Neurospora crassa OR74A: one gene and its partners. The protein of the gene in region 3 interacts with the protein of the main gene of each other region in a pairwise test. Links are inferred from orthologs where the notes say so. Each region holds a gene or a part of one and is shown on either strand. Other genes may lie near its edges.

Region 1 (5,441 bases), on a different chromosome or scaffold from region 3:
TCCTCCCCCGGCTGCCGTGAAGCCCACACCACAAGAGACAAAGGCAACTAAGCTTTCGCAAGAGGACGCAGACTTGGTTGCCGAGCTCACAGGCTCGCCTCTCCCAGCCTCTACCCGCCACGAACTCCGCGAGTCCAAGGTCCCAGCCTCCCGCATCAGCAGACTATGGAACTACGGCGGTCTCGCCGCCGGAATGATGGCCGGCGCTATCGGCGAAGGTTTCAGCCGAGCCATCGGCGGCGGCAGCTCCGGGTCCGTCATGCTCAGCCCGGGCAACGTCGAGCGGCTGGTCTCCCGTCTTTCTCGGATGCGTGGCGCGGCCCTCAAGCTGGGGCAGATGATGTCGATCCAAGACTCCAAGATGCTTCCACCGACAATCCAAGAGGTCTTCCAGCGCGTCCAGGATCGAGCCGACTACATGCCGGCCTGGCAGCGCGACCGGGTTTTGGTCTCCAACCTGGGCGCCGACTGGCGCTCCCTGTTCGACGAGTTCGAAGAGAAACCCATCGCGGCCGCCTCCATTGGCCAAGTCCACCGCGCCACGCTCAAGTCCAATGGCGCCCGCGTCGCCGTCAAGATCCAATTCCCCGGCGTTGCTGACTCCATTAACTCGGACCTCGACAACCTCGCCATCCTGCTGGCCGCCACCAAGCTTCTCCCCAAAGGCCTGTATCTGAACAAGACCATCGACAATGCGCGCACCGAGCTGGCGTGGGAATGTGATTACTTGAGGGAAGCCGAGTGCGGCGCCCGTTACAGGGAACTCCTTGCCGCGGATGGGCAAGAAGACGCCGTCTTCGCCGTCCCGCACATCTACGCGGAAGCCTCAGGCAAGCAAGTCCTTACCATGGAGTGGATGGATGGCGTGGGCGTCACGCGCGTCAAGGACTTCTCGCAGGAACAAAAGGACTGGATCGGCACCCAGATCTTGCGCCTCTGTCTGCGCGAGATCACCGAGTTCAAGTTCATGCAGACGGATCCCAACTGGACCAACTTCTTGTACAACCCCGAAAAACAACGGCTGGAGCTGCTCGACTTTGGCGCTAGCCGAGAATACCCGGAGGAGTTCATCTCGCTGTATATCCGCCTGCTCGAAGCCGCGTCGCGGGGTGATCGCCCCGCGGTCAAGTCCCTCTCTGAAGAGCTGGGGTATCTGACGGGTCATGAGAGTAGAGCGATGCTGGAGGCGCATATCACTAGTGTCGTTACACTGGCTGAGCCGTTCCTGCAGAGTGCGCCGGAAGTGTATGATTTCAGAGATCAGACGATTACGGAGAGGGTCAAAGCGCAGATCCCCGTCATGATCCATGAGAGGCTGGCACCGCCGCCGGAAGAGACGTATAGCTTGCACAGGAAGCTCAGTGGGGCGTTTTTGTTGTGCGCGAGGCTGGGGAGTAGGGTCAGGTGTAGGGAGATGTTTGAGAAGGCTTTGGAGAAGACGGAGTATTTCGGGAAGAAGTGAGTGAGGTGTATGTATGATACTACTGTGGCTGGAAGTCGGGCTGGTAGGGATAGATTTGGAGGGTTAGACCAGAGTTTCTGCAAGTGATTCTTTCTTCTTTCCTGTACATCTCGGCCGAATGTTCTCTGTTATAGGGAATCTACCGAGTAAGATCACCTCAAAAAGCATAGCCAGCACTTGTGGGGTGATTTGTAACAATATTTGTGAATATTACCATTCCAACCTTTTGCGCGCCTGCTTCATCTATCAGTCCTTGATACCTAGGTATGTCTCCCATGCAGCCATTTATAGTATACCCCCAGTGTTTCAAGCAAGCAATAATCCACTCTTCCCCTTCGTTTACCTATCCTCAGCCGTCCGTCTCGCCAACGGCAACGCCTTCTTCTCCTTGCCTGCAATCTTCTTCCTCTTGCGCTCAATCGCCTTATCGACCTGGCTCTTCTTCATGCTCGCGAACTGCTCCACAAGCAACTGCTTCTTCTGCTCTGACTTCTTCAAGTAGAAGGGCGTCTTGCCCTGCTTGATGAGCTCCTTCTCCTTCTTCTTGTGCTCCGACAACAGCTCGCGCTCCTTATCCTTGCGGGCGCGCGCCTTCTTCTTGCTCTCCATCGACAGGAGCGCCCGCTGCAGCTCCTCCTTTTCGTTGGCATCTTTCGTCTTCTTGATGGCCATCCGCAGCTGCTTCATCTCGTCCTCCTGGTAGTCGTCCAGGAACGAGTAGGCTTTGCGCGCCTTGATCTCATCTACTACGCTTTTACCGGAGCTGCCGCCGATGCCGGGGGGCGCGAACCGTGGGTCCCGGGATTTGGGCTTGGCGGGCTCGTTGGCGAGAAAGTCGCGACGCCGAGAAACGGGTTTTTTGGAGGTCGTCTCGACGGGCGCGTGCTTGTTGGTGCGGTGGTGCTTCTCGACCTTGGCCTTCATGCCCTTTTCGATCTCGGTCTTCCAGTTGGGCTCTTCTTTCTCTTCATCGTCATCGGAGCCGTCCTCATCGCCGCCCTTCTTCTTCTTCTTTTTCTTCAGTGCGCCGAGAGAGGCTTGGGCTCGGGCGAGAGCACCGAATGAGAGCTGCGAGGCGTCGATGCCGGCGCCGCCGTGCTCTGAGGGTGCGTCGGAGTCCTGTTATTGAGCATTAGTCGTAGTTTTTTTTTTTTTTTTTTTTTTTTTTTTTTTTTTTTTTTTTTTTTTTTTTTAAAAAAAAAAATGATAGTATTGTTTTTTTGTGCCCATTTGAAGAAAACAGAAAAAAAACAAAAACCCTTACATCGTCACTGCCTGGTTCACTGCCCTCCTCAATCTCTTCATCCTCCTCCTCCTCCTCGGTGTCGCTGCCTGTGTGAAAGCCGCCGCCTTCTTCCTCACTAGGGGCCTCATCTGAGCTCCCCTCCACATCCGAGTCGGGCTCGGCTTCAAATCTCGGACGAACACGTCTCTGGAGCTTAGCACCCAGCGTAGGGGCAGCTTTTCGCTTGACCGCAGGCATTTCTTACTCTTTTCGGGTCCACAATTTCGTCCTTTATAAGTTCTATCCTGTCTCTGGTGGCAGTGACAACTTTGTTGTGCGTTTGATTTGAGATGGTTACCCTTTTACGAGGGAACAAACAGCAGCGGGTGAAGAAAAGGTATGAGTGAAGTCACATGGATATGTGTATGTAGTTGGTTGTCGAATTGGCGTTGAAAGTTCTGCCGCCTGCGAGTGAAGCAACATTGCCCCGCTTTGACGGGTTTTCTCAATGTATGATTGGCTAGATTCCTAACCGATATTTTGCCCGTCCCCTGAAAAGCACAGAGGCCGCAAACAGGCGTACAACATCACTTCTTGATAAAAGTGTGACATCTCATTCACTGAGTTGTTTGGAGGTCCAGGAACACGGCTTATTGGATATTTATTACCGCACATCTTCCTCAACAGCTGTGGCCTACAGCTGAATGCGAGCCGGGCCGACTTCAAGCACCTTGGAGCCAAGTGGTCCGTAGCGGCACCTTTTTGCACCGGCCTCGTCTTTTTATCTCAAGGATGATGATGAACAGATTACGAATATTCAACACACCAGGTCGCTTTCGTCTCACAAAGGACTGGCAACTATTGCCAACTACACCATTATTGCCTTACTTGCCTCGCAATAAATATTTCAACACATACAAACCGTTCTTGGCCAACCAACCTTCGACGAGGTGCATTCATACGGCTGAAGACAGTTTTGAGGCGGATAAACTGTGCTCTGTGTTTGGCGTACAACACCTGGCTAAGAAGGGAACCGCACAATCAAACGAGACATTACCAGGCCCCTCAGAACCGTCTCACCAGGCGGCTGGAGAACAGGGCAGAGTGGCTTCCGCTGGAAAGGGTCAAAGGGGCAGCAAAAACGGAAACGAAACGCAGGAGCAAAGAAGGTGTCAAAGGCTGGGTCAGCAGCAGGACAAACTACAACGACAACAACAACAGCCTCAAGACGGTCTTAAGGCACAAATACAGCAAACAGTGGACCAAATGGATCACAATCACTTCGGCTACCAGCCGGGTTACCCGCCAATATGGCAGGGGGAGTTTGTTCAGCAGCAGCAACAACAACAACAATACCAATACCAAAACCAACAGCACTATCCTCGGCAAGAGCAATATGGCATGGGATATGCGCCGCCCCCAAATATGGGCTATGGCTTCATCCCTCCTACTCATCTCAACACCTTCGCCCCAGGAACGACCATACCGCATTGGCAACAACCTCTGCCGCCGTTCTACTCGGGAGCAGGAACACGAAGTTACCATACCAACACCAACAACAACAACAACAACAACAACAACAGGCCTCAGGTCCCTCAGCCCGCTGGTTGCTATCGCTCCAGGAGTCCCGGACCCTACTCACGAGTAAGACAATACAGCAATAGCAACAACAACAACACCTACACCAACAACACACACCCAGACTTTTATCGCCCCAGGAGTCCTGGACCTTACTCACGAGGAGGAAGACGAGGACAGTACAACAATAACAACAACAATAACATCAACAACCACCATAGCCAGCAACAGCAAATACCGCCCACCTCCAGGCCCTCTCATCCGCCCAAGCTCAACAAGAAGGCCAAAGCCCGCGAAGCAGCAGCCCGCGAAGCCTTAGCCCAAGCCCAAGCCCAACGAACCACCACCACCATGATGATGCCCGCATCATCCTCTTTCATCCCGCCGCAAGGAGGAGGCACCCCGCGAGAAGGCAGGGACCCCATCGTGCCTCCCTCGCGCGCCTCCGGCGGCATCCCCGAGCCCAGCCACGCCTACAAGATCCGGGCCTCCTTCCTCGCTCGAGAGGTCCCCCAGCCGCGTCCGATTCTGGTGGTGATCGACCTGAACGGCACGCTCTTGCACCGGCCCAGCCGCAAGCGGCCCTCCAAATTCGTCGAGCGGCCCTTTGCCAGGGACTTTTTGAAATACTGCATCGACACGTTCAAGGTGGTGATTTGGTCCAGCGCCCGGCCGCAGAACGTGGAGATGATGTGCCAGCAGCTGTTGACGGAGGAGCAGCTGGGCAAAGTGGTGGCGATCTGGGCACGGGACAAGTTCGGGCTGACGCAGGCGGACTTTAACACGCGGGTGCAGTGCTACAAGCGGTTGACGATGCTGTGGGAGGACCCGACGGTGGCGGCGTCAAACCCGGAGGGAGAGCCGTGGAATCAGGGCAATACGGTGCTGATTGACGACAGTGCGGAGAAGGCGAGGAGCGAGCCGTATAACTGCATTACGCTGCCGGAATTTGTGGGGGATTTGAACGAGAAGCCGGAGGTGCTGCCGATGGTGCGTGAATATCTTAACATTCTAGCCCACCAGGCGGATATCAGCACTTATATCAGGGTGAAGCCATTCAACATCAGCGAGGATAGCAGCGGGGCCGTAACCGGACACGAGGGTGTTGCTCTCGCTTCTACTCCAGCTGCGGCTCAATAGGAATGTTCAGGATAGAGCATAGGAAATAATGAGATG
Region 2 (5,221 bases), on a different chromosome or scaffold from region 3:
AAATGCTGACAATAACTGAATCAAACAGGCTTGGACTAACCTATAACGCCCTTCCCGACCCGGTGTCCAAGGACGAGTTCGCGGCCTGGGCAAAGGAGGAGTACCCGGAGGAGTGGGCGAGATTGGAGAGTAAGGGGCAGAAAGAAACCGAATTTCAGGGACCTGTGTTCAACATTACCAGGCTGTTTGAGGCTTGACCTCAAACGGAGGTTCATATTACATACGATATCGACAGTAAGTAGAAAGAAAGGAAAAACAGGACTTGTACAGAGAATTTTATATTTTGAGTTAGAGAGAGGGAGGGGTACATCGTTGTATGATTGTTAGGTGGCTTTTTGCGCTTCTGAGCGGGTGGGCAGGAGGATGGTTCATCTTTGGGTTGTACATTACATTTAGCACCTTTAGACAAAAACTAGAAGGTGGATATTGGAACCGGTTTTGGTCTAGGTTTAGTCTTTTTGTTCGTTTCTCCGTCAGGGTCTCTGTAGATTATGCAGTAGCACAGACGAAGTGAGTGATCGTTCACACCATCTTTCATGCCCACTATCCGCATTCCTCCACAATCACCCTTTGATGACCGCCATCATCCAAGCCCAAACTTTGCAAAATACCATTTTGTGTGCCGTGTATACAGTAATAATACACCAACTCTACGATAACCGTAATAGAGTCCGCCGATCAACCATCCATTCAGCCCATACCGTGCTACTAGCCATGCTTGCTAGCCAGACGGCGACCTCACGCCCGTAACCGCCCAGTCATGCAAATTTCCCCCATAAATTCCCCCTTCATTCCGCCCAAGTCCAGACCTTCCAGACCATTCTAGTTCTCATCCTCTCCATCAAAGTTCTTGGTCTTGTTCGCCTTCTGGCCCTTGGGCACAACAAGCGGCAACAAGTGCCTGCCGTTGCTGTTCTTGAGGATCTCGGGGTGCTTGTGCACAGAGGGGTGAATACCGAGGCCGATGGCGCGCCGCACCATCTTGGCGATCTTGCGCTGGTTGACGGGTTTCAGGCCGGTTTCCTTGGAGTGCCTTATCCGCCCAAAGGGGGTGATGTAGTCGGAGATGAGGGAGAAGTTCTGTTGTCCCCAAGGAAATTAGCATTTCGCCTGAGGCCAGTTTTCGAGACAATGGAATTGGGAAGGGAAGAGGGGTGTGTGAAGGAGGAGGAACAAGAGAAAGGGAGAGGGGAGGGAGTGACAAGAAGAAAAAAGAAAAAAAAAAGAAAAAAGAAAACATACACGATAGTTATCCAACGGACTAAACCCAAGCTCATCCACCACATCCGCCGCCTCCACCCATCCCCCGTTCCTGCCCTTCATCTCGTACGGTGACAGGTCGCGCGGCGCGTACACGTCGCCGTTGTTCCACCGGCGCCTCATCATGCGCATGTAGTTGTTGGAGGTCACCTCGGACTGGAGCAGCTCCTGCACCTTCTGGCTGTTGCTGCCATAGCGCTGTCCTCCGTCGACGTCGCGTGCGTTGTTGTAGCTGTCTCTTCCTCCCCGGCTGCCGGCGCCGCTGTTTAGCAGGTTGAACATGTCCGACTTGTACTGGCTCGAGCCGGCGTTGTTGTTGTTGTTGCTCGACGGCGACGAGGTGTTGGTGTTGGTGCGCGGGGCATTTTGGAAGGAAGTGGTGGGGATGTCGCGGACTGTTTGGTGATTGAAGGTGTTGTTAGCTTATGTGTTATGCTTATAGAGTTGTGGAGGGCGGCATATCGGGTTTGCGATCGACGGAGCGAACATACTGGCAGCGGCCGGTGAGGTGGTCGAGAACTGGGCGGTCCTCTGGCCGGCAGCGCGGCACTGCCTGAGCGCAGAGGAGAGGAATTGACGAGAGGACGACATGGTGGTGGTGGTGGTGGTGGTCGTCGTCGTTGTTGTAATGGTTACAACAGCTTGTAACAGCTGGGCTTTGGCGATGTGCAAGTCCTCTCGGGGAAACCACACACACACACACAGACAAGAATGGAGCTCCCGTTTCGCGATCGGTCGGAGTCGGGAATCGGGGATCGGGGGTTCAGTCGCGACGGGGAGATGCGGCGGCGGCGGGCACGGTCGGTGCGGGCAATTGGAAATTGGAGCTCCGGGCCGGCAGCGACACTTTTTGGCGGATCAATCTCTTTTCGGCGCAGTGGCGGGGCCTGCCGCGGACCGGGGCGCTGTTGCGGGCTTGCGGCTGGCAGCTGGCAGGGCGGGAGCTGATTGCTGGAAAGCCTGAAGCGTCCCGGTTTATTTTATGGGGTAAAATGGAGCTCGCTGCGGGCTAAGAGTGCGCTAAGCAAGGGGCCCGGCAGGCGAGAAAGTGTGGGGCAAGAGTTTTCATTGCAGCAAAAGTTCAACGCCAGAACACCACCACCACTGCAGCTGCTGCTACTATCAGATTACGATACTGAACCATCCATCGCCTCCACACCCGTCTGATTGATACCGCATCTTTGATACCTTTCACAACGACACACTTCTCGACCCAACTAGAACAGCACACCATCAGTGACACAGACAACGAATTGCCAACATGGTCCGCAAGCTCAAGCACGCGGAACAGAAGCTTCTTCGGAAGACCGACTTCATCAACTACAAGTCGGACAACAAGCACAGAGATCACGATGTCGCCAGGTACGCTCATTCGCCTTAAGTGGTTTTTGTGTGAGAACATCTTGCTAACAGTCACACAGACGGTACATGATTCAGAAGCCCGAGGACTATGTATGTTAATCCAAGCAAGGATGAGATGAGGCTCACAGTGACTTTTCATAATGACCATGACAACTGACCCCCTTCTAGCACAAGTACAACAGGATGTGCGGTGTAAGTTTCATCAACTAACCTTACCTATATGAAACTGTTCATGACATACTGACATGATATGCCACAGTCCCTCCGCCAACTCGCCCATCGTCTCAGTTTGCTTCCTCCAGACAACGAGGTGAGGCGAAAGCACGAGGAGCTTTTGCTCGACAAGCTTTACGACATGGGAATTCTGTCGGTATGTCTTCCGGTATCGAAGTTCAACTCGAGCAGTTATTAACGTCCAATCACAGTCCAAGTCGAAGCTGTCGCAGGTGGAGCACCAGGTCACAGTCTCGGCCTTTGCCAGGAGGCGACTGCCCGTCGTCATGACCAGACTTCGTATGGCCGAGACCGTGCAAGCAGCGACCAAGATGATTGAGCAGGGCCATGTCCGTGTGGGTGTCGAAGAGGTCCGTGATCCTGCTTTCCTGGTGACGAGGAGTATGGAGGACTTCGTCACTTGGTCTGTCGGCAGCAAGATCAAGCAGAACATTATGAAGTACCGCGACAAGTTGGACGATTTCGAGCTTCTTTGAGTGGCGGAAGAGCATGGCTGCGGGCATATCAGGAAGTGGTAATGGTACGTTGGGAGCTAAGGCTGGAAAATGGATCACTGGGAAAGGACATACTACTGCGTTGTTTGCAAGTTGGCATTGGGAGGAGTGCTCATATGCGAGCAATATTCTGTGGCGTTTTAGGGTAAAGGCATTCAAAATATGTGAAAGGGATTTTAAGATACCACCATTCGGGTTTACAGGTCAATCACTCGGAGTTGCGGAAGTGTACCAGCTGCGGGCTCCCCACTCGAACTTGCAGTGTCTCACTGTGACCAAAGCCTGGTGAGTCTTCCTTCCGAACCACTACCGACTAATAGCCGACAATATCACTGGCATACTTCTGGGTTTTAGGGGTGCTCCTGCGTTCTTTCTGTTCCGTTCCTCGAAACTGGCAGCACACGAAATAAAACATCCGACGAGCCTCGCTCCTTCCGTAAAGTAGCTCATTTACAATGGCTCACTCTTTCATGAAAATCGTCCCTTTGGCCTGCTCCTCTTCTTGGCATTTCCTCTTTTTTCTCTGCATCTTCCGCTCCCACTCCCTAGCGAGACCTGACCTAACAAATGTCTCCGTATTCCTAACACCGCATCATTCAGTTCTTCACTTCATCCTTTATCCTCGGCTTTATCTCTATCCTATATGGTCCTGGTACTCCTGGTTGTCTTCTCTGCTGTTACCAAGGTCTCCTTATACTTCTCGTACCTCCTTACCTTGATCCTCATCTTGTCATTGAATCAAGGTTGGATTTCTTTCGACACCCTGAGACACCGGGCTCCATATCAGATCAGCATCGCTCTGTGGGAGTTCGTCCCCCGGAAGAGCCCTCCCGACACCAAACCGCCAGTCTCATCCTCTATGTTCTACAACCGCCATGCCTACTTTCCAGAAGAACCGCGTTCGAGATGCGAACCCATACTCTGGGTCCATCGATCCGCCACCATACCAGCGCGCCCTCTCTTCGGAGTTGTCTCTCCCTAGTTTCAGGGGTAACAATACCTATCAGGAAGCACTGAGCAACATCTTGCATTCTCGGTACTCTTCGACGGATCGTAACTCGATTCCCAAGTATGAACATCTTGATTCGGTTCCAAGTCCGAATATAACCATCAAGTCAGGCAACATGAGGTTTATGATTCCTCCTCGGAAACGTACGTCTACAAGTCATCTTTGTCCCAAAGCCCGCTAACTGTTCACCAAGCAGATCCTTTCACTCCCACGGACACTACGCCTACGAGCTCTAGAGTACCGCGCAACGCAAGCTCCCGAGTCACATTCGATTCTTCATCCCATGATCTCGATTCACCACTAGAATCAGGGCGTGATTACTTCTGTGGCGCAACGTATGAGGAAGAACCGTCCGGCCCTTCTTACAATCTCTACCCCCTCAAAGAATGGATAGAGACGAGCGGAAACCAGGACCCCTCAAGCAGTGACTTTGTCCACCATACATTGCCCGATAGTCAAGTTTCTCAGGAACTGTCAGTTACTTCGAAAGGCCGCCACCAGCATGGCCACAGCTTAGAACCAAAAGTTCGAACGGTTGCGGAGCTCGCGAAGTCTAGCGCATTCGGTTTCACCGGGCAGAAGGGGATACTGAAAGCTGTTCCATCGCCGAACTTGCCGCCCTTGTACCACCAAGAGGGAATGCTTGACTTGGCTACTTACATTGCCTCACGGCATCCGTCCCCCATGGACCACACGCAAGCTCAAGTGGATGTTACGAGCCATCACCTTGCGGTTATAGCACCCTCTTTTGGGGAAATGAACACTTCAAATATCATTTCAGCCTGTCTGGACTCCCCTCGCCACCTTAACTCCACCGACAGCCGCATGAACCATCATAATGGTTATTCCTTCACACCAGAGA
Region 3 (6,280 bases):
TGAGGAAGGATGCGATGGTTGAATGAAAGCGTTTTTGTTGATGCGCTTTACTCTCCCGCCTTATCGATTGAGTTGTTTGCCCCCAAGATTCGTTGGAACTTGGATGCCCAGTTCACCTCGCTCTTTGTTGTTGTGTCCTTGTTTTGTGGGTTTGGTAGACAGGAGATACGTCACTTCAATTGAGAGCCGCCCTGAGGATTCATGAGCGGTCGGTCAAAGAGTTACAGAGTACACACTGAAGTGAGGCTCAAGATAACGATGCAAAATGCAAAGTCAACAAAAAAGGCTGAACAAAGGAAAGAGTCGACCTGATTACAATCCGATTCGAGTCATACATGGTGAAAAGTCTGATGGTCGCATGACTAGTTTTAAATCCTTTGCCTCTTCATCCGCAAACCGGTTCCCCCAAGACCCAAGGTTGACCCGCCTGGCTGCAAGATACGTGTAATGCATCCTCGGCGGCGGCAAAAGAGCCCTTAAAAGCATGCACGTCTCAGGCGGCTCAAGCGTCCCGGGCTGTAGGTGGATCTTGTGGGGTACGTCAACCGCTAGGTGAAACCCTAGTACAACAACATCCAACAACAGCATGAGAACCCTTCGAGGGAAACCTGGGTTTCTGGATAGACCGAAAACAGACTGTTGGTTTGGAACTCTTCCTTTTGCCTGGTGGGTTTAAGAAGTCATGGTGGACTGGAAAAAAATAATGTGGCATGTCCTAATCATTGCTCTAACATTCCAGTGTTTCATCCCAAAAATTACCTCTACTTCTTGAACGATCCGTGTTGAAGATACCTGTACTGAAGATAACGAAATTGAAGTGTTCGGTTTAGGATGTTGTGTTTGTTCAGAAACTGCCCAATCTAATAATTTATCATGTGGTGGTGTTACATTTATCCAAAGTTGAGATTTGGGCATTTGCATTGATTCGTCTCAGAGCTCCTATTGGCTCCCTCGCAGGCCTTGTATCCTTTCCAAGTCAACATCGCCTTCGCTCTTTCGGAATCTGGCACACAAGAAATGCCAGGGAAGGGCACAGAAACGAAGAGGAACTAAAAATTGGGATGGAAAAGAAAAAGAAAAAAAATGAGAGGGATTCTTATATAGCCCTATTCTCAGACCCGGGGTTTACCATGAACCTGTACTAACACGATTGAACAGGGTGCGAGTACCGGCGACCTCCGGTGTTGAGAATACTGGACATTGTAGATATTGTAGATCTTGAAGAGGTATCAAGTGTGTTCAAGAAATACAATGCCATTGTGTGTGCAAGCCTGCTTTTTTCCATTTCCGTTGAGGCCATGATTATCAACAACCCAAAAATCTATACATGCATGATATACCCAGAGTACTACAAACCAGTCCAACAACCACGACAACCAGAGCCCTATCAAGAAAGCTTGATACTCTTGACCAAGCCGGTCTTGATACCCGACAGTTCTCCCTGGTACCCGCCCTTGCCCTCGCCGCCCTTGTACACGGCCTTGACGCTCTTGAGCTTCTTCTGCTTCTCCGCGTACTTCATCCTCTTCTTGACACGCGGGTTGCGGTTCTCCTTCTTGCGATGCGGCGTGAGGCCCTTGTTCTTCTGGATCTGGTAGTTGATTTGGCGCTTGCCGTCGGGGCCGATCGTCGTCTCCTCCACGACCCGGGCGCCCTTGGCAGCCGCCAAAGCCTCGTACTTGGCCGCCTTGTCCTCCTTCTTCTTGGCCGCGTTGTGCGCCACCATGTCGTAGTACTCGTCCTCCTCTCCGCGCACCTGCTTGGCAACGGCCTTGTCCTCGTCGTCGCTGTCGCCCTCGCCCAGCACGGCGCCGTGCTTGCTGTCTTTCTTGCCGCGCTTCTCGGCCTCGGCGTTGAGCCGTGCTTGCCTGTCTCTCTGCGCAAAAGTCAGTATATGACAACACGGCATGTTTTTTAGGCAATGGCCGACTTACAAATCTCTCACGGTAGGGAAGATCGTCATCACCACCGGCGTTGCGACCCGCATCCGCACGCTTGGCGGACTTGGACACAATCTGGGAGGTGTAGAATTTGAGACTCTTCTTGCGAGCAGCCTTCTCCTTGGCCACGTGAGCTTCAAGGATCTCCTCGTCACCAAAGTCGGAGCGCTCATCGTCATCGCGCTTGTCGACCTTGACAGACTTCTTGCTGGCCTTGGTTGCCGTCTTGGTGGTTTCAAGCAAACTGGAGAGATCGGCAAGAGACTGCTCGACAGCCCTGGCCTTCTTGGCCTTCTCGGCCTCCTTCTTCGCCTTGGCCTTGAGCTCAGCCTTGGATTCGCGCTTGCTCTTCTTGAGCATCTTCTTGAAGTCCTCCATATCGTCGTCAGACAGGTCATCATACTCGCCCTCATCTTCGGGTGGCGAAAGCATGCCGCTGGTCGAGGAGACGCTCTTGAGCGGCTTGAGTTCCTTGACCTTAAGCCAGGCCTCGCGACAGCTCATTAACGTGCCCATAACCTCGTGGTCCCTGAGTTCCGTAGGGCTGATCGTCTTGGACACACCTTGGCTGTCTCTTGCTGGCGAAGTCAGGATAGCGAAATAACTGGCGAGTGAAGCGATGTAACACCCAAGAGTCCAGAACTTGACCATCTCCAGAGACTTGGCAGGCTTGCCCTCGGCCTCTTTTTGAAGAGTTGTGAGAATCGGCTGCAGCTCCCTAAACTCCTGCGCCAGGTAGTCAAACTCGGGATATCGGCTCTGTAGAAGCTTGTATCTTTCTTCCGGCCCCATGTCCTCTGTGACTTCGATCTCGTTGAGTTTCTCGGTAATGACATCCTCCTCTCCCTCGGCCTCCTCCTTGGTTCCTAGCCATTCGCTCTCGTCAAACGCGAAATCGGCCTCGGACATTTTGGCCAACTTCTTGGCCTGGAGCCTCTTTGCCTCAGCCTCTTCCTCCAAGGCATCGGCCTCGGTCTCGATCTGGTCGGCATTGTAGTAGTCCTTTCTGGAGGAACCCCACCATCCTTCGTCACCTTCTTCCTCCTCTTCACCACCCATCTCTTCGTCGGAAAGTACTGTTGTCTTGACCTTCTTGCCCTTCGCGGGCGCGGCGTCTTCGTGTTCGCTCTCCTCATCGGATTCGTCCTCCTCGAAAACCTCCTCGTCAGAAGCCTCTAGGAACTCCTCCTCCTTGTCTTGGCGCCTGCGCTTGGATTGTCTGCCATCATCGCTGTCGTCAAAGTCGATGCGATCCTGGTTCTCCCAGTATTCGTCTTCGGAGTTGGCGACATCTTTGTAAGTCTTAACGGTAAGGCGGGCGTCCTTGGCATCGACCTCGCGAGGCTCGGCGGGACCGGTCGGTCTCGGGGCTTTTCTCTTCTTCGCCATTTTTGCGTTTGTGTCGCGGTTATCTATTCAGGCGTGTTGGATGGAGTTTGGCGCGACTGAGAAACGTTGACGTGAAGACGCTGCCAAAAGGCACTTGGAGATGCTCGTTGAATGGGCTGGTGGGTTCGTTCGCTAGGCGGGCAACAAATGTTGAAGCGGCAGAATTTTTTTGCTCTTGTCAATTTGCGATCCATTCTCAGCGGAACCTCGACCGCCCAGCTCCACTCTCATGCAGGCTGCCTAACCCCACAATTGAAGATGCTCCACAGTTACATCTGAAATGGTCAAAGCTTCCATCCCGTCCTCAGGGTCGACGGGAAGCTCCAAGATGCCCCCCAGGCCTGCCAGATTTACGTTGACATGACCTCAATGGGTTCAGTTATGACAGTAGAGAAAACCGCTTCTGAAGACTCGAAAACGCAAACTCCAGCAAATGGTTCCAGAAACCTCATTTTCCTACGGAGTGCGAAGAAATCGGTCGAATCATCACCCATCAACAAGTCACTTACAGACAGGGGTGTAAGCTCCAGTACGACGGGAACTGCTGACAGCATCCACTAAATTTACGCCGTAGAGGTACTCGTTCGTACTCTAGACGTATACAGAATAGCTTAGGCGCCGCCGCGTCAACAATTCCACTTTCCTCGAGCCCGATCTTCTTTCACGATCCAAGGAAGGATGAACCATTATCTCTTCTCAGAGTCGCTGATGGAACAATTGAAAACCCTCAGCACCTCCTGGTCTCTCCCAGTTGCAGCCGTCGTCGCGGCCATTGGCATATTTGCTACAATGGGTCTCTTCAGCTCCAAAAACCACATGCCAGTCGAGGGCCGGGTATGCGCCCCGAAGCCTCACCCGACCTGACCCGACCTCCAAACAACACTAACTCAACCCCTGTTACCAGACCGTCCTCCTAACCGGCGCCTCCGAAGGCATGGGCCGCTCAGCGGCCATCCAACTTTCGCAAAAGGGCGCCAATGTCATCCTCGTCTCGCGCAACGTCGGGCGCCTTGAAGAAGCCCTCGTCGACGTCCGCGCCGCCGCCAAGAACCCGTCCACACAACGCTTCACTTACATCTCAGCCGACGTTTCCGAGCACGACTACGCCGCCGCGGTCCTCGCCGAAGCTATCGCCTGGAATGGCGGGCGCTCCCCGGACATCGTCTGGTGCGTGGCCGGCATGTCGACGCCTCTGCTGTGGACCGACGATGGCAGCATGGCGGCCGCACGCCGCAACATGGACGTCAACTACTTTGGGTCGGCGGAGATGTCGCGGGCGATTTTGAGGGAGTGGCTGGCACCCGAAAACAGCACGGGACCCAACGGAGAGCCGAAGCACTTGGTATTTACCGCGTCAATGTTGGCGCTTTTTGCGATTTTGGGCTATGGCCCGTACACCCCAACCAAATGGGCGCTGAGAGGACTGGCGGATACCCTGGCGATGGAGGTCAATTACTACCCAGATAACCCGGTCAAGGTGCACATTGTGTATCCCGGCACGATTGTATCACCGGGCTACGAGAGGGAAAATCAGACGAAGCCGGACATCACGGTGGAGCTGGAAAAGGACGAGCCAGCGGAAAGCCCGGATACGGTAGCAAGGAGGGCGATTGCCGGGCTGGAGGCTGGCAAGTATTTTGTCGATGTGTCATTCCTGGGAAGGCTGATGCAGTGCGGGATCATGGGCGGGTCGCCGAGGAACAACTGGGTGCTGGACACGTTGATGGGGTGGCTCATACCGATCATCTACTTCTTCGTGTTGAGGGGGATGAACTCAACGATTGTGAAGTGGGCGAGGGAAAAGGGGCATCCTTTTACGCATCCCAAGAAGAAGTGATGCGATGGTTGGATCTGTTCTTTTGTATGGATGTGTATATGATATCTATGAACATAAAAATACTGTAATAACTTTGTTGTTGTAATAGACCGATATCAGCCTCAAGACAACCTGGACAAGTCCCCCGTCTCCTTTGTGAGACACTCACCTTGAAGTCAAAGCACTACGTCTTCACCGCGATCCGGATGCGTTTTGACACCAAGAATGAGCAATCCATGCTTAGTTGGGTGACAACGACTTTATACCCTGCTTGTGTTGTCCAGCAATAAGTGTATATTCCGACGTCAAGATGTTTGGAGCACCACTTGGTGAGTGCGGAGACAGAAAGATGACTACCTGCTAAACCCATGGTATGCCCCTGTTGCAGACTGTATGAATCTTCTGGCAGAACCTGCTCTTACTGTATACTAGACTTACGGATTGTATCGATGGAATGTGTGAGCTTCGGTTCAGAGCTTTTGACCTTCGCCAGTATACATGTGGATAGGTATCAGTCGGTGAACTACATTAGCTCGGAACTCCATCCATTCCCCACGTCCCGTTTCTACGATTATCGGGCCAGCACCGTGAACAGACATGCATCATATCAATACTATAGTCATCATTCCCACCCCATCTGGACTCTCTAATACGCTCCATTTCTAGACTTTGGGGGAAACATTGATATTTCCTACACCGGGCGATTTACTCCACTTTTTTTGATGGCACTTCCGTTGACCATCTACGAGGATCGCGGCGGGAGGGGCAGAAGGCACGGATAACATTTCAGGATTGGACCATTTTCTTCGTTGTCAGTGTTTTGTGGCTTGTGCGCCCTGACATAGCAGGTGGGCGTCTGTGCACAGTTGCACAAAGTCGAGTGATGGACACTGGCTCGCAGTTGCCGCCACCTCTTGGCTGCTGGTTGCCTGCCGGTGACTGTCCGCCAGCTAAAATGTCGCGTCCGTCGAGCGGTGTCCCGCCGATCCAGCCGTTCCTTGGACACCCGCACACTTCTATCCTCTCCTCCCCAAACTTGTCGCCCGACCTTTGGAACACCAGCTGATGACAGCTGCTCAACACCAACTCACCCTACCAAGCGCCATTACCAGCCCATACAGCGACGACCAGCTCG

Evidence for each region.
Region 1: the proteins of NCU00301 (region 3) and NCU03824 interact in binary tests that used the Saccharomyces cerevisiae proteins (3 or more experiments, as listed by UniProt). The link is inferred for Neurospora crassa OR74A from reciprocal best matches to the Saccharomyces cerevisiae genes SAS10 and RRP36.
Region 2: the proteins of NCU00301 (region 3) and NCU01008 interact in binary tests that used the Saccharomyces cerevisiae proteins (3 or more experiments, as listed by UniProt). The link is inferred for Neurospora crassa OR74A from reciprocal best matches to the Saccharomyces cerevisiae genes SAS10 and IMP3.

Annotation. Positions count from the first base shown.
Region 1 is NC_026505.1:2,529,895-2,535,335, forward strand, and holds NCU03824 (hypothetical protein), read right to left. Parts: upstream 3,121-5,441; 5' UTR 2,946-3,120; coding exon 2,727-2,945; intron 2,582-2,726; coding exon 1,802-2,581; 3' UTR 1,524-1,801; downstream 1-1,523. Other genes in the region: stk-25 (ABC1 protein), read left to right, coding at 1-1,462; NCU03825 (hypothetical protein), read left to right, coding at 3,480-5,405.
Region 2 is NC_026505.1:2,663,440-2,668,660, forward strand, and holds NCU01008 (U3 small nucleolar ribonucleoprotein IMP3), read left to right. Parts: upstream 1-2,322; 5' UTR 2,323-2,521; coding exon 2,522-2,622; intron 2,623-2,681; coding exon 2,682-2,712; intron 2,713-2,790; coding exon 2,791-2,814; intron 2,815-2,881; coding exon 2,882-2,992; intron 2,993-3,047; coding exon 3,048-3,332; 3' UTR 3,333-3,698; downstream 3,699-5,221. Other genes in the region: complex I intermediate-associated protein CIA84, read left to right, coding at 29-197; NCU01007 (mito ribosomal protein S18), read right to left, coding at 823-1,080, 1,243-1,655, 1,752-1,851; NCU01009 (hypothetical protein), read left to right, coding at 4,226-4,502, 4,556-5,221. UniProt on the Saccharomyces cerevisiae protein: Required for the early cleavages at sites A0, A1 and A2 during 18S ribosomal pre-RNA processing.
Region 3 is NC_026503.1:3,361,978-3,368,257, forward strand, and holds NCU00301 (Sas10/Utp3 family protein), read right to left. Parts: upstream 3,479-6,280; 5' UTR 3,330-3,478; coding exon 1,935-3,329; intron 1,877-1,934; coding exon 1,388-1,876; 3' UTR 1,184-1,387; downstream 1-1,183. Other genes in the region: NCU00302 (3-ketodihydrosphingosine reductase tsc-10), read left to right, coding at 4,008-4,163, 4,234-5,166. UniProt on the Saccharomyces cerevisiae protein: Primarily required at the G2/M phase. Essential for viability: involved in nucleolar processing of pre-18S ribosomal RNA as part of the ribosomal small subunit (SSU) processome.